Linked DNA regions of Oreochromis niloticus. The protein of the gene in region 2 interacts with the protein of the main gene of each other region in a biochemical or structural test. Links are inferred from orthologs where the notes say so. Each region holds a gene or a part of one and is shown on either strand. Other genes may lie near its edges.

The links. The genes of interacting proteins can lie anywhere in the genome.
Region 1: the proteins of runx1 (region 2) and elf2b form a complex in vitro, tested with the Homo sapiens proteins (2 studies listed by BioGRID and IntAct). The link is inferred for Oreochromis niloticus from reciprocal best matches to the Homo sapiens genes RUNX1 and ELF2.

Annotation. Positions count from the first base shown.
Region 1 is NC_031971.2:37,292,599-37,299,969, reverse strand, and holds the start of elf2b (ETS-related transcription factor Elf-2b), read right to left. Parts: upstream 3,008-7,371; 5' UTR 2,649-3,007; intron 1-2,648. Other genes in the region: mgarpb (fibrous sheath CABYR-binding protein), read right to left, coding at 6,570-6,607. UniProt on the Homo sapiens protein: Isoform 1 transcriptionally activates the LYN and BLK promoters and acts synergistically with RUNX1 to transactivate the BLK promoter. Isoform 2 may function in repression of RUNX1-mediated transactivation.
Region 2 is NC_031986.2:3,441,021-3,448,529, forward strand, and holds the start of runx1 (runt-related transcription factor 1), read right to left. Parts: upstream 3,019-7,509; 5' UTR 2,601-3,018; coding exon 2,573-2,600; intron 1,210-2,572; coding exon 1,058-1,209; intron 989-1,057; coding exon 878-988; intron 1-877.

The DNA.
Region 1 (7,371 bases), on a different chromosome or scaffold from region 2:
CATTATCAACATGGAAGATAAGAGACGGACGTAGACATTATGATATCGCCTACTAGTTCTGGAGGCTGCATTTTGAAGCTTGACCGTAATTTATCATGTCAAACTCTAACATGCAGGTGCAATGCACACACACATTCTAGTTAATTATTTGCCAACTAAAAAGAACTAAAGACAAACTTCTCGGATGATCTATACGTCACAACAAACTATAATATCAGTCAGACAATCCATTAAAAACACTCCAAGTCTCCAACCTGCACAAACTGACTCAATGTAGTGAATGAAGCTCAATAAAAAAATAACACATAAAAACGGATAAACAATAAATAGATAATTCATCTGTATTTCTGACAGACTAATCAAATATTTAATTCAAGTTTAACTTGTTTCAACTTTCATTTTAAAACTACTTAAAACTGCCTTTTATAAATGTTAGAAGGATTGAATAACACGATTATTACAGAGATATTTATCACAATACAATTTATAAATGAGATGGAATTGGCAGTTTAGAAATGCATTGTTTATTTGTATCCTCTGTGCAAATAGAATAATGCATGTGATTCAGAAAACTCATCAGTTACAAATATGGTTTGAACAACTATAAGAACATAATAACTGAGATAAAAATTATTTTGCTTTGTTCCTTTTATACTGTTGATCTTTTATTTCTTTAGGCTGAAGCATTTTCACTCTTCTCTGAAACCCCAAATTCACTCCCCCTACAGGCTGTTGGAGCTTCAGATGAAGTAAAATGACTTCATCTCTTTTGAAACACTTTGGTTTCATGTGTAGTAAGGAGCAAGAGCACAAGTGCATGATGTCCCCAAAATCAAGTTATAACATTAAATAATAATGAGCAGAATTTTGGCCACAGTCACACAACAAGTGCAATCTTTTGTGATTTAAACTTGCACACCTCTCTTGTATCCCATTATACATCATCTTCTGTGGCAACCAACCCTTTGTATTCCAGGGTCCATGTTTGCAGTGGAGAACATTTGTGGAACCTTCAGACCACACAGTTCAACTGTTGACTCAAACTGCAGGATACGCTGTCTGGTTAATGATGAACGAGCACAAAGAGTGGACACTCCCAGCCTGTAGCATTTAAATAGGTCCTTTGCCCCCACACAATCAAACTGTAAATACCTCCACACACCAACGCACACAGCTGCGAGAAAGAGGGTGAATTCTTTGGAAATACTAATGTAATAATTACCCATACAAATGATCTCAGATCATTTCAGGAGCTCTAAGAACAGTCGGGATATGTTTAACCTTTCACAGGTTATTCCTCAGAGTCTCAGATAGATTAAGATCAGGACGTTAGGCTGATGCATGCACCAGCAGGGGGGCACATGCTGGGCCAGAATCAGGCCAGAGATAAATTTAAAATAAATAAATAAATCCATTTATCCACTCGTTCACTCACAAGGCAGAACCCCAAAACCATGATGCTACCTCCACCATGCTTCACAACTGCAATAAGGTTTTAGTGTTGGTTTCATTTTTGTCCCACCTGTCCAAGAACTGTTGCAGAAGAACGAGGTGCGACACAGATTTAAGAAAATCTGCAACATGTATTTATTATTATTATTATTATATTTATTTTATGTTATCGTATTTATTTATTTAAGTCTTGTAAAGCAATGCACCCCACCCCCCTGCCACTGTTGTGTCATTACATTTCCTATTCAGGATATTTGTAGGGCCTACATAAAATAAATAAATTAACAACATTGATGGCAAAATGCATTACAGCGTGTAGAGAAAATCTTTCAGTTGTCAGCTAATCACATTTTCTAACAGGAAATGAGGCAAAAAAAAGAATAAATACATGAGCAACAATGACCTACTTGTGACCACAACACCTGTTACAACATCATAATGCAAATCTGCCTCTTAACCCGCACACTCACCTGTGTTGACACTATTCTAAGTTTGCTCAATGTGGCACCTCTGACGCATAAAAAGCAGTGGAGTCAGATCCAAGATTATAGTTTATATGTTACATGCATGTAGTAGTTACCAGATCCCAACAAACTAAATGTGGAAAAAATTACTGATGTCAAAGGTGTATATAACTTTAAAAACAAACAGCTGCTGTATTTTGTATTATTGTCTGATGCCTTTCCGAAAGCAAATTAAAACCTCATAAAGACAACATGTTGGTGTGTAGATCTATAAAAGTTATAGATATACTGCATTTTATTTTTATCCAACTTTTACAGCTTCTCATACATATAAATGGATGCTAAAGTCGGGGTTTTTTTACGTTGGTGTCTTACAATTATTCTCTGATTGTAACACAATAACTTAAACATGTCAACTGGACTAAGGCTGAAGGTGCTGTGCAGTCCCACACAAACTGGGACACCTGCTAACCCTAACCTGTAGTCAAAGACTATGTTGGACATAAAGAGCAGCCCACAGGAGAGAATCTGTTATTGAAATGATACCTCCCTAAACTAATAGTCTACTCAACATGTAACGCCCAAATCTCTTTGAGAGCCCCGAGCAGAAACTGAATGTGGAGCATTAACTTTGCTAACGCTAGCTAGCTAAGTTAGCATTGAAAGAAAAGCAAGTAAACAGAGGATAACAACAAACCATGTGGCTAACGCTGCTACAGTCAGCTCACTCACCGTCTAATCCTTCCTTTCAGCTCCTGATCGGCTCACAGGCAGCAGTGTGTGGTTAGCTGGGTGCTAACCCCCTCCTCCTCTGAACCCGCCGCTGCTGTAAACTGTCAGCCCGGAGGAGTCCCGCTGTTAGCGGACACTGCTCGGCTAGCGTTAGCTGGTCGCCTTCATGGTGAGGAGGGGGAGGAGGAGACCTCCCGGAGCCTCTCGGCCGACCAGAATCAAGTCTTCCGCGATTCTGGGGTGTAAATGCGGGTCAGTGAGTGAGCTGCGAAGCGGTCGTTCGAGTCTGCAGAGGCTCATGGAGACTGGCTCGGTCAGTTTACTCTGCTTGTTCAGGCAAGTGACACTAGTGACGTCACGCCGTATCATAAACAATCCCAGCCCACCAACACATTAAAGAGTCATTCGTTACAGCAGTACACAGTGGGGTTTAAATCAAACAGTCCACACGTGACTGAAGTGCAGACCACATGCCGTTTCCTCTCATCAGATGCTTGTTTGTGGATCTCTGCCTTCGGGTTTGTCTTCAGCAAATGAAAAGCATGCTCTGTTTGCATAGAGAACATGAGATCATTACTTGGCCACTGAAGAATATCTGTTTTTTTGTTGCTTTTGCAGTTTGGGTCATTATCCATTTGCACTGGATCGTGTTTGCCACCTTTGCCAGAATCTAAGCAGAGATTATAGCCCTGTACACTACAGAATTCATCCTGCTGCTTCTGTAAGCAGTCACATCATTAAGGAACTCTGTCCCAGTGGCACATGGCCATGCCATTACACTACCTCCACTATCTTTGAGTGGTGATATGTTCTTCAGATCATGAGCACAAGTTTTTCTCAGTTTAATCTGTCCAACCCTCTGCAGGATCTTTTAGGTGTTTTCTTGTAAAGTCTAATTTTGTCTCATGTACATTAATGTATCTCTTGATTGTAGACTTTGACGGGATATTGTGAAGTTGTTTTTCGTAACCAAGTAAAGAATTCAGCAATCACCCACCTTAGATGTCTTCTGTGGTCTTCATGGCCTTTTGTTATTGCTGAACTGGCCAGTGCTCAGCAATAACAATAATCCTCCTTTTTTAAGAATAAAGTAGACTGTAGATTTTGGCACTCCTAAAGTTGACAACACATCAACTTGTTCTGCACCACAAACTTGAGCAAAGGGGACACATAATTTATCTTTCTTCTGTTTGCCTTTGAGCAAGTTAATCCAAAAAGATCAAAAAGAACAGACAAATGCTCAAAAACATATGATCTCATGTGTTATTACATCACTTTATTTAAAATTTGAGCACATTATCAGACAACAGAGAAGTCATTTGCAGAGCAATTTGCTAATTACAAGCTTTAAAGTTACTGTTTAATATGCAAATATATTAAACAAAGTTTCAATCTGTATATCTACAATCATTTTCTCTTATTCTCTTACCCAGTCTGCACATAAATGGAGATTTGTGTAAGTATAGACAGGTGTTGGTATGGATGTGGAAGTGTGTTTACGGGATATTTTCTGGCATCAGGTATTTTTCACCTCCGTATGTGTGTATATGTGTCTGTGTTTGTGTGTTTAACCTTTCAACACTTTTTTCTAAACTATTTTAGGTGCTAGTGGTATCAGAAAAGAAGGAAAAGTGCATCAATAACATGTTTATTTCTGTATGTAAAATAAAGCTTTTGTGTCACTCTTACATAACTGGAAGCACTGACGTTCACATACTTAATATTTAAACCACTCAAAGCAAACTTTTGTTGCAGAAGCTAAAATATAAACAACAACAATATTTTTCTGCCATTTGACAAACAAAATTCTTTTTTCCTTTGAGTAAATAAAACCCCACTTATTTTTTTTATTGTAGTTGTAGAGGAAGACTAAAACCTAGAAAATTCTAATATATATGGATAATAAGACAGTCATGTAAGTACCTGCCTTTGTATTATGAGAAAAAGATTGTCTGCCAGCCAGCCATCCATCCATCCATCCATCCATCTTCTGCCACTTATCTGGGTTTGGATTGTGGGGGAGCAGCTTACACAGAGAAGCCCAGACCTCCCTCTACACAGGCACCTCCTCCACCTTATTTATGGCGATAGCAAGATGTGTCCAAGCCAGCTGAGCGATATAATCTCTCCAGCGTGTGCTGGGTCTGCCCTCACCCAGAGGGCACCCAGGAAGTATCGTAGTCAGATGCTTGAATCACTTCAGCTGGCTCCTTTCAATGCTGAGGGGTAGCGGCTCCAGTCTAAGCCACTCATAAATAACTGAGCTCCTCACCCGATTTCTAAGTTAGAGGAATTTCCATTACTTGTATTTGAGATGACATTATTGTATCCACTACCTTGAGCTTGTGACCATAGGTAAGGTTGGTAACTGGTAAATGGACAGCTTTATTTTCATGCTCAGCTCTTTCTTCACCACAACAGACCGGTACAGTGTCCGCACTGCGGATGGAACACTGATCTGTTTGTCAGTCTCCTGTTCGTTTCACTTGTGAACAAGACCCCGAGATACTTAGACTCTTTCACTTAGCACAGCAACTCATCTCTCACCCAGAGTGAGCACTCCACCCAGGCTCAGAGGAGATCATTTTCATTCTCATTGCTTCAAACTCAGCTGCGAACCACCCCAGTGCGAGATGGAGGTGGTCACCTGATGAAGCCAACAGAACCACATCCATAAAAAACAGATATTAGATGGTAAATAGACTGATTCTTATATAGCACTTTTCTACTCTGCTTGAGCACTCAAAGCACTTGAGATCGATCAGCCACAAAACCGGAGACTTTCCCGTGCTTGCCTACACACAGAAATCCTGTCCATAGAAATTAGGAATATAATCCCCGACAGAGGACAGCACTGGCTGTCAAACTGCGATCAGGACTAAATCCAACTTATTATTGGCAATACGGACCAAGCTCTCACTGTGTTGTAAAAGAACTGAACAGCCTGTAACAACAGGCAAGATAACTCACACTCAAATGGATGGATAGATGGATTTCTCACATGCTTACTTCCCTCAGTGTTTCTTCCTGTTTTGTGGATTGTTTTTTTATTTTATTTTGATAGTTTGTTTTGGGTTTTACTCATCTGTCTGAATATCCTGATTACTTTCACCTGTGTCTCATTCTCCTGTTTTAGTACCATTTCGTTAGAGTAACACAAAACCGGTTAGCCCCGGGTGTATAAATAGTCCTGCCCTTCTCTTCTCTTCTCTTCTCTTCTCTTCTTTTTAAGTAACCAATATTTGACAACAGCATAATAAAACTGGAAATTCCCAATATTTTTAGTGGCCCCCATATGGCCACTCCTATGAAAAAAAATTCTGAAGATGCCCCTGCTCTTCACTTCATTGTCTGTGATTTGCCTCTTTTGGATTTTGTTATCTGTTATTAAACCTGATGCTTTTCCTCACCTTTATACATCTATTTGTGCAGTTCTCATTTTATAAACGTTCTACTGTTTTAAGATTGTTTTTTGTAAATATTTTGAAGAACTTTGTAACTCTGGTTCTGAAATAAAGTTATTACATGTATGTGAGCTGATATGAGCAGGTAAATCACACTGAGGTGACACTCCCATTAAAAAGTCTTGTCCACATTGGCAAGCTTATTATCTATAAAAGTGGTCTATCACAGTACTAAAATAAAACACAGTATTACAGTAACCCACTTCCACTGCCTGCTGAAAGATTTAAAGAAGCCTCAGCTGATCATGAAAGGTTTTGCAACAGTGGCACCTAGAGGACATGATAGGAATCACCTCACAAGCACTAATACAGAAGACAACTCTGATAACATTTCAGAAAGGACGTTCGAGTCAGTTACACCTGTGACTACCTCTATTCATGTTTTTTGTTTTCCGCCGGTCGCTCTGGCTTGGTTGACAGATAGGCGAGTGTTGTGGAAGGCACACTGTCTGTCCCGTCACGACTGGGCTATCACCACCACCGTCGCCTCCATGGCTGCAAGAAAACAAGCACAGCTTCGATTTAAAGGAGACAGAAACGCATTCACTCAGTGTACATGACTGTAGGATTTTGCAGTGCAAATATTGAATTCACAGCTGTGCAGCTCGAACTACATCTTCTAACATTTGAAGCAGAGAAAAGTGTCTGTGAATGTTTATGAGACCCACTGGAGCTGTTACAGTGTGAGCTGCTAAAATATGTGCATATTTGTCCATTTAACTCTCTTTAGGTCCGTGTACAGCTGTGCTGCTTTACCTTCTTAACTGTAAAATTACATGACTGAGCAGCGTTTTACAGTCCAGTTGGACTCCTTTGTCTCTGTGGATACAGGCAGAAATACATCTGGTCAGAGCCAAATACAGGAAAGGCTTTACTGCTGTCTTTGCTTGCTTGTTTTCGAGGGCAAACTTGAACAGGGATAAATTTAGCGTTGGGGGAGTTCACAAAGTTTTCATGAATGAGTGGCAAGGAGGCTGTTAGGGAGCTCATGAGTGACCTACTACTTTATTTATTTACTGATAATGTGTTGTATTTGGTGATCTGGGAAGGTTCGGTCAGCTTTGATGGCCATAACTTTGGTCTTGTTCACCTCTGAGAACCCGAGGTTTTGCCTTCCTGTGGTGATTCTTTTTATCTCTATCTTAGCTTTATCTAAATGTAATATAACTCCCTGCATTTGTCCAATGATTGTGTTGTTGGTTTCTTTTTTTTCTTTGAGATTTGATTTTTGTGTTTGTTGAATTTTTGGATTCCTGTTT
Region 2 (7,509 bases):
AATATGTGTGTGTGTGTATGTATACAGAACAATACCTGCAGAGTGTGTGTGTGTGTGTGTTATCAGCTACATACAATATGGATGCGCGTCTTTCGCTGTGTGCATAAAATGTGTGTGTTCATCTCAACAGTCATCCATTATCAGTAAGAGGCAGTGACATCCGCTCATGACACTCCATAATGATGCATAATGCACCAAACTCTCTCTTACACACACATGTATGCGCAAACACTAATGCATAAAACTCAGTAAATCAATCCACTGTGTTTTCTGCAGCTAAAAGCTGCTTTTCCACAAATGCATTTTGTCTCAAAGTGCAGGAAAACCATCCACATGAGGGAAACGCAGCAAAAACAAACAAACTTGTGTTAAATCACTGAGGGTGGATGGATCATATGACCCACTGGTAAGACAGTATAAAGGTCTGTAAAAATGGACCTTTGTGAGTGATGCTGGAAAATGTACAAAATGTTAAGATTTTGTACATTAAACACTTAAGTCGTAAATCATCCGGACCATTTACATCAATTAACGTTTAAAGGCAAAATGTCAAAGATTTGTTCCCAGATGTAAAGAATTGCTGCTTTTCTCTGTTTGTCAGTGGACGGTGAATATACTGAACAGCACGTTGGACAAGGACAGTAAAAGTAATCAAAGTAACAGAGAGATGAACTCACGATGATGTAATAATATATAAAGGTAATGCTACATGTTATTATCAGGAAACTTTCAGTAGGTGAAAGGTTCGTGATCACTTGGTTAGAGGTGGAGCTAACTGTATACGTAACAGTAAAACCTGGTATGTATGTGAACTCTAAGTACACGCAGTCCATTACGATGTACAGCACGGCCCGTGCTGAAATGACAACACACACACCTTAAAAGCGATGGGCAGGGTCTTGTTACACCTCCAGTGAGTAGGCAACACAGAGCACAGAAAATTGGGACTGTCTGTCTTCACCAGCTCTCCTGGATGATCTGGCATCACCTGAAAAAACAGCAGCACAGTTATTTTAGTCTAAAACAGAAATAAGCAACCAGTCCCATGCTGCCCTACCTCCACCATCCCGTGGTCTGCAATTCGCAGTTTTCCCACCAGAGCAGCTCCACCACCGGCCTCCTGGGCTCCGAGAGGCAGGGCCTCGGCCATCTTCCCCCCCGAGGCGAGGGTGGTAGAGGGGGGAGTATAGCGGCGACCGGGGGCAGGGTCTATGACAGAACCCAGGAAAAAATAGTCTTTGAATCACGTAATCATCAGAACAGTATGAGAATATATTTTCACGCTTCATTCATTGTTTAAGAAATTATTTCAGCAGAAAAAGAAAACGTAGCGATTCTGTTTGCTCACAGATATTTTCTTTTCCCCCCAGCCTGCACCAATAAGGACTTTTTTCACTATTCTGTCACAACTTATGATCAATCAGTAAGTAGATTAGTAGGTAATGACTAGAAAGATTTCTATAGATAGTGTTTGACAAATTATGACTATGCTTGCTTTTTATTCAGGTTAAAGACACACACACACACACCTGAACTGGGATCTATAAAACACACACACAGAGTGAGGGAGAGAGATGTTTACGTCGTACGCTTGTTTGCAACCACAGGAGAAGGTAACTAGGTGAACAGGTGTGACCGTTTATTTTGCTGATAGTTACATTTGTGTTATACAGCATGTGTCTAAATGTTAAATGGACTGATTCTTATATCTGATTTTTTAATTTCTAATCTGGAGTCTTCAAAGTATTTTATACAACAGTCCTCATTCACGTCCTTTTATACAAGCACCTTTGGCCTAACATTCACACACATTCACACTGAGAGCACAGAGAGCACCCTGGGGTTCACATCTTGCCCAAGGAGGGCATGCAGACTGGAGCAGCCGGGAACTGAACCACCAACCTGATGACCTGCTCAGTCAAATCCAAAGTTTTGGATCCTAGTGAGCTCAGGTAACACTCATTCGTATTATAGCACACATTTGTTAGTTCAGAATGAGCACTTTAACACATGGTTAACATTTTGCATCAATCTCTGAAGAATTCTGGCAGCAGTGCAAAACTCAGACTCCACTTTTTCCCCTTTTACAAAACACTACAAACCACATTCACCTGTTCACACAATAACTGTGTTTCCATTCACAAACGCAGTCACTGAGAAAAGGTGGGGTTGTATATTTAAATCTAAGAAACTTTGACTCGTGGACTGGATCAAACCAATAACCCGACAATGATCGTTTGAGCTGATTTGGATGTCACAGAGTAAACCGGTACACGAACGCTGTATTATGCTAGATTATGTATAAAGCTACAAATGTTTTCTACAGGCCTGTAAATGACTACGTTGTTGTACAATGACACACATTCCAGTATATGGACATCACCATCACTGCTCACACACAAACACACACGGACCGACAAACCACGGACTACCACCGCACCGTCAGAGACGAACACCATTTCTCCAACAGCTCAGTCAGTCAAACTAATGTGACAGCTGACTAGAACAAATATGTTCTCTGCGCATGTCTTCACACTTTATCGTGAACAATAACCAGAATAATACGTCGTACCGTATTTGGCGTCCCACGGAAACACCATCTGTGCGTCCACAGTCTCCTCTCGCTGACTTTCACTATAAGCCTCCTGCTTTCCTCCTGTTTGCGGCCAAGAAGCGGATTCCTGTGTGCGCGTCGTCCAGTACTTATCTGTCAAACTATCCCGATCAAACGCGACACATTTAAATCCGTGCAAACATGTCTCCGACGCGTTCAGATGTGTTTAATGCGTTCTCCACACAGAGTAGAAGTCAGACTTGAGATGGGTTCTGTCTTCAAAGCTCAGCAGAACAAACTTCCGCTCATACTGAAAGTGGAAGGAAATGGGCAGACGTTGGAGGGAAAAAAGGAGAGAATCTGACTGTATTTTAAATTTTGCTTCTGTAAGTAAGCGCTTTCATCATAACTACTTCTATGTCCTTTCCCCTGCAGATGAATGGCCATCTCCGATCTTGGCGTCAGCCTTTTACCGGCACCGCTCTGGATTTGCATCTCGTCTGTGCAAAGACCTGCTCTCAGCCAATCAGGACGCGTTCTAGAGGCTGTCGCCGAAAACATAAGACCAATCAGCATCCTGTGCGTCCGAAAGAAGGCGGGTTTAGCAGAGAAACAAGGAGACAGAGCGGCGCTTCTTCCTGCGTGACAGTGTGTGGTTATGTGCGTTATCCACACATAACAAACTAACGACAGATGAATGCATTCACTGCGGATCAAAGTCAGAGTCACATGCCTCCAAATCTTTGTTTTCTTATTCTTTTCACCATAGCAGACCGAGGCGTGAGAATCTGTGTGCTTTATATATGCAAGCTGTCAGTAGCACATACAGACGATAGAGGGCAGCAGGTGATCTAAAGCACGTTACTGATCCTAAATGAAGACGGCACAGACCGAACGAGCCGGACTCACATTGATGACTTCCACTTTCATGTGATTTCATCTGTTTCTAATAGTAAGAGCTCGAATACACATTCAAACATCTGTATTAGTACTTGATATAAATGATACCTCTGAACTCCTGACTTTTATAATACACTCAACCTCTAACTATACTAAATTGCATTATTGAGATCTGCAGGTGCTCAGACGGAGATGTTATCATCATAACTGTGAACACGGTGTTACTGCTGCCTATACTGACCAGGGATAGTTTGAATCCCGCTCACGTTTTTACTGGAAAATATTTCACAAAACAAATTAAGCACCAAAAATAATTTTAAATGAAGGAAAAGCTCTTTTTATTATATTGCTATTATATTAATTTCATATTTGAACAACATTTGCACATGCACGTTGTCTTCATGCACACGCAAAAACTTTAATGCACAAAAAAATGGTTTAAATACTGAGTTCATTTCGGCACTCTGTCTTCTGCATGTACTGTATGTAAAGTCTATATAAATGAAGATGACCATGAAGATTATTATTATGGAGCTATTAGGCATTTCTGGAAGAAAGCAGCAGCAGGGAAAGAGCTGACAGATGAAAAAAGTAACTGACTTATCTGCTCAACTAAAAAAAAAGTCTCAATGATGAAGAACTGAGTTTAAATTGCCGTTGAAACTCCAACAGCACTTAAAGAGTCACACAGTAACCACGTGGGAGTTCATGTGTTTCAGTTTTACATTATGTTATAATCTTAAAGACTAAAATGATAGGCAAAAGTTTTTTAGTGTATGAGATCATGTTTTTCTTTCTTTTTTAATCCAAAAATGAGAAAATGATCCAACTCATTCAGCTTTCAGATATGTCACCGTCTTCAGCTCATTTATGTGTGCGTGACGTTAATGTTCCTCTGTGTCTGTGTATATCTGTATGGCAAACCGAAGTGAACGTATCTCTGAAATCATTTTGCAGTTGTTTGCTTTGAAGCAAGGGCGTCGATTTGGCATGGACGGAAGGGACATGTCCCCACCAATATCCAGCGATTATTGAATTGTCCCCACCAATAAGCTTTTTATTTGTTTTCTTTCACTTATTGTTGCATGTGTGTTGTTGATGCCTATGTTTGAATAATCTCTGTAACTGTGAGACACCTGTTGCTGCCTATCTTGGCCAGGTCTCCCTTGAAAAAGAGGTTTTTAATCTCAATGGGATCTTCCTGGTTAAATAAAGGTTAATAAATAAATAAAAATAAATAAATAATAATTTGATCTCTTCGAGTAAAGAAAAACAAACCCGATAGAAAGAAAAAAACCCGATCTGTCAGCGTCTCATTCACCCAGCGGTGCAGAAAGAGTTAAATTACGTTCTCTACTGGAGTCCTGCCTCATGTGACAAATATGGCCAATGTGATTGGCTGTGCCTTTCAGGGAGCTCTGTTTAGTTTTAGCAGCGCAAGCCTGCAAGGAGGAGAGGAGGATGGCAGCACAAAGGAAGAACCTGGATATAAGAAAGTATTTTTTAAAGGAACCTGTAAGTCACTTAAAGTCAAGTTCACTCATAAAATGTGTCCGTCATAATAACGTTACAGGCTATGCTACGCCATACATGCCAACCCTCCCGATTTTTCTCCCGGAGCCACCATTCTCCCGAATTTCTCCCGAATTTCCACCCAGACAACAAAATTGAAAAAGCATATCCCAGATTGGCCCAGCCAATTCCAGTTTCCACCAATGGCTACTACTACTGCAGCTACTTAGTTTTAATATTACTCTTATTTCTCTTTCTGGGTCGCAAAATAAACTTTTAACATATTTTCAGGCGAGAATGTAGCTGTGTAAACTTTGTGAGTAAATCTGTTTGGCTGAGATTAAAGTTATTAGATTAGATTAGATTAAATAAAACTTTATTGATCCCTCAGGTAGGTCTTGATGCATTCTCAATCATCCAGGAAAGTAAATCTCCAAAGGTTGAATCTGTTCATCTGGACGTAGCGTTTTGTGGGAGAAACGTTTCGTCACTCATCCAAGTGACTTCTTCAGTCTCAGCTGACTGCAGGTTTCCCCAAACCTTATAAACAGGACATTTGCATAATGACTGAAACCAGCCCACTGAAGGAACAATGGGCTGGGAGGTCAGTTCCTTAATCATAATTATGCAAATACCCCAAAACACGCTGCGCCAAAAACTGGTCCACCCCAAGGATCGGGTCCCCCGACACAAACAGAGTAACATAGTGTACGCTGTTAAGTGCCAGGAGGATTGCCAGGATTTATACATCGGGGAAACCAAACAACCTCTAGCGAAGCGGATGGCACAACACAGAAGAGCTTCCTCGTCAGGCCAGGACTCTGCAGTTTATTTACACCTACAGGCCAGTGGACACTCTTTCAATGATGAGGATGTACACATCCTGGACAGGGAGGAACGCTGGTTTGAGCGCGGAGTCAAGGAGGCCATTTACGTGAAAAGGGAAAGACCATCTCTGAATCGAGGAGGGGGCCTAAGGGTACATCTTTCGCCATCTTACAATGCTGTGATTGCAGCCATTCCCCAACTCTCTGTGAATGGGACTCATGGCCATTGATCAGTGTTCTTTGATCAGTGGGTTTTGGTCAGTGATTGTTGATCAATGGTCATGGGAATTTGCATAATTATGATTAAGGAACTGACCTCACAGCCCATTGTTCCTTCAGTGGGCTGGCATTATGCAAATGTACTGTTTATAAGGTTTGGGGAAACCTGCAGTCAGCTGAGACTGAAGAAGTCACTTGGATGAGTGACGAAACGTTTCTCCCACAAAACGCTACGTCCAGATGAACAGATTCAACCTTTGGAGATCCCTCAGGTAGGTTCCTCCGGGATTTTCACACAGCTGAATAAACGTCAAACAGAAAACTGATTAAACAGAAGTGTGAGATGGCTGAGAATTTACGTCAGCGTCCGGTTATATTTTAGATGGCAGAGTTTCACTCCACCGAGAGAGCTTGTGACGTAATTCTGAAGGCTAGACCATCCAATTTCACAGTCGCTCATTTCCGGTCTACCTGGCTTTCGGAGGACCCGGCCCACTTAGATCGCGAAGGCCGGGTCCTCAGACACAGCCTCTGAATTTGGACACCCCTGGCCTGTTTCCGGCTGGACAATAATAACGGTGACATTTAACTTATGTTATCCGATAAATAAAACACTGTAAAATTCAAGTTTTTTGTACATACATACATATATATATATATATATATGTATATATATGTATGTATATGTATACCACTCCCCCCCCCCCAAACGGCCCTTTTGAATGTCTCCCTGATTCTGAGGTCTGAGGTTGGCAAGTATGTGCGAGGCTTTGGCCCACATCAGTCTAAAATTGTATGTAACCATGAATAACGTGTTGCCATGTCCACCAGGAGAGACTGGACAGTATAGATGTAAAACAAATATCCCAGCAGTTCATCTCAGTTAACGAGAGGAGAAGGCATGTGTTTGGCTGCTTCACATAGTGGACATTGAGTTGTTGTGTCCATGTCTGTTGCTGTAACAGTAGTTCATGTTTAGAATAAACAGCTCACTGAGTTGATCGGGGCAATAGTGCCTAAAATGTTGCATAATGTTGCTGAGAGATCTTTTACTTTGTGGTCATCTTAGATGAGTAGTTTTATGGACAAAAACCAGCAGGTCATTCAGTGTTCCCTTAGTGCTAATGTATCAGAGATGTTGGTGCACTATAACTGAAGGAATGTTGTTAAGTCCTTAAAGTCATATTTTATTGTCTTGACTGTATTTGAAGCTATTTTTATTTTTGTATGATACCTGATTTATATGGAATATGGCTGAAGTAAACTAAAGTCTAAAATACTTAGTCATTCATTTGTTTATTAGTAATTTAACATTATATAATTCACATATAAAACTATAAATTGTAATTTTAAATGGTTTAAAAGCATGTAGAATAGCATATGTGGGCAAGTATATTTCTCCCTTTTTTATCAAGAAGCAAAGACAAAAAGGAAAAAACAGAAACAGGGCAGGGTTCGGTGGTTGAATCATCCGTCCCCACCAATGCCAAAACCAAA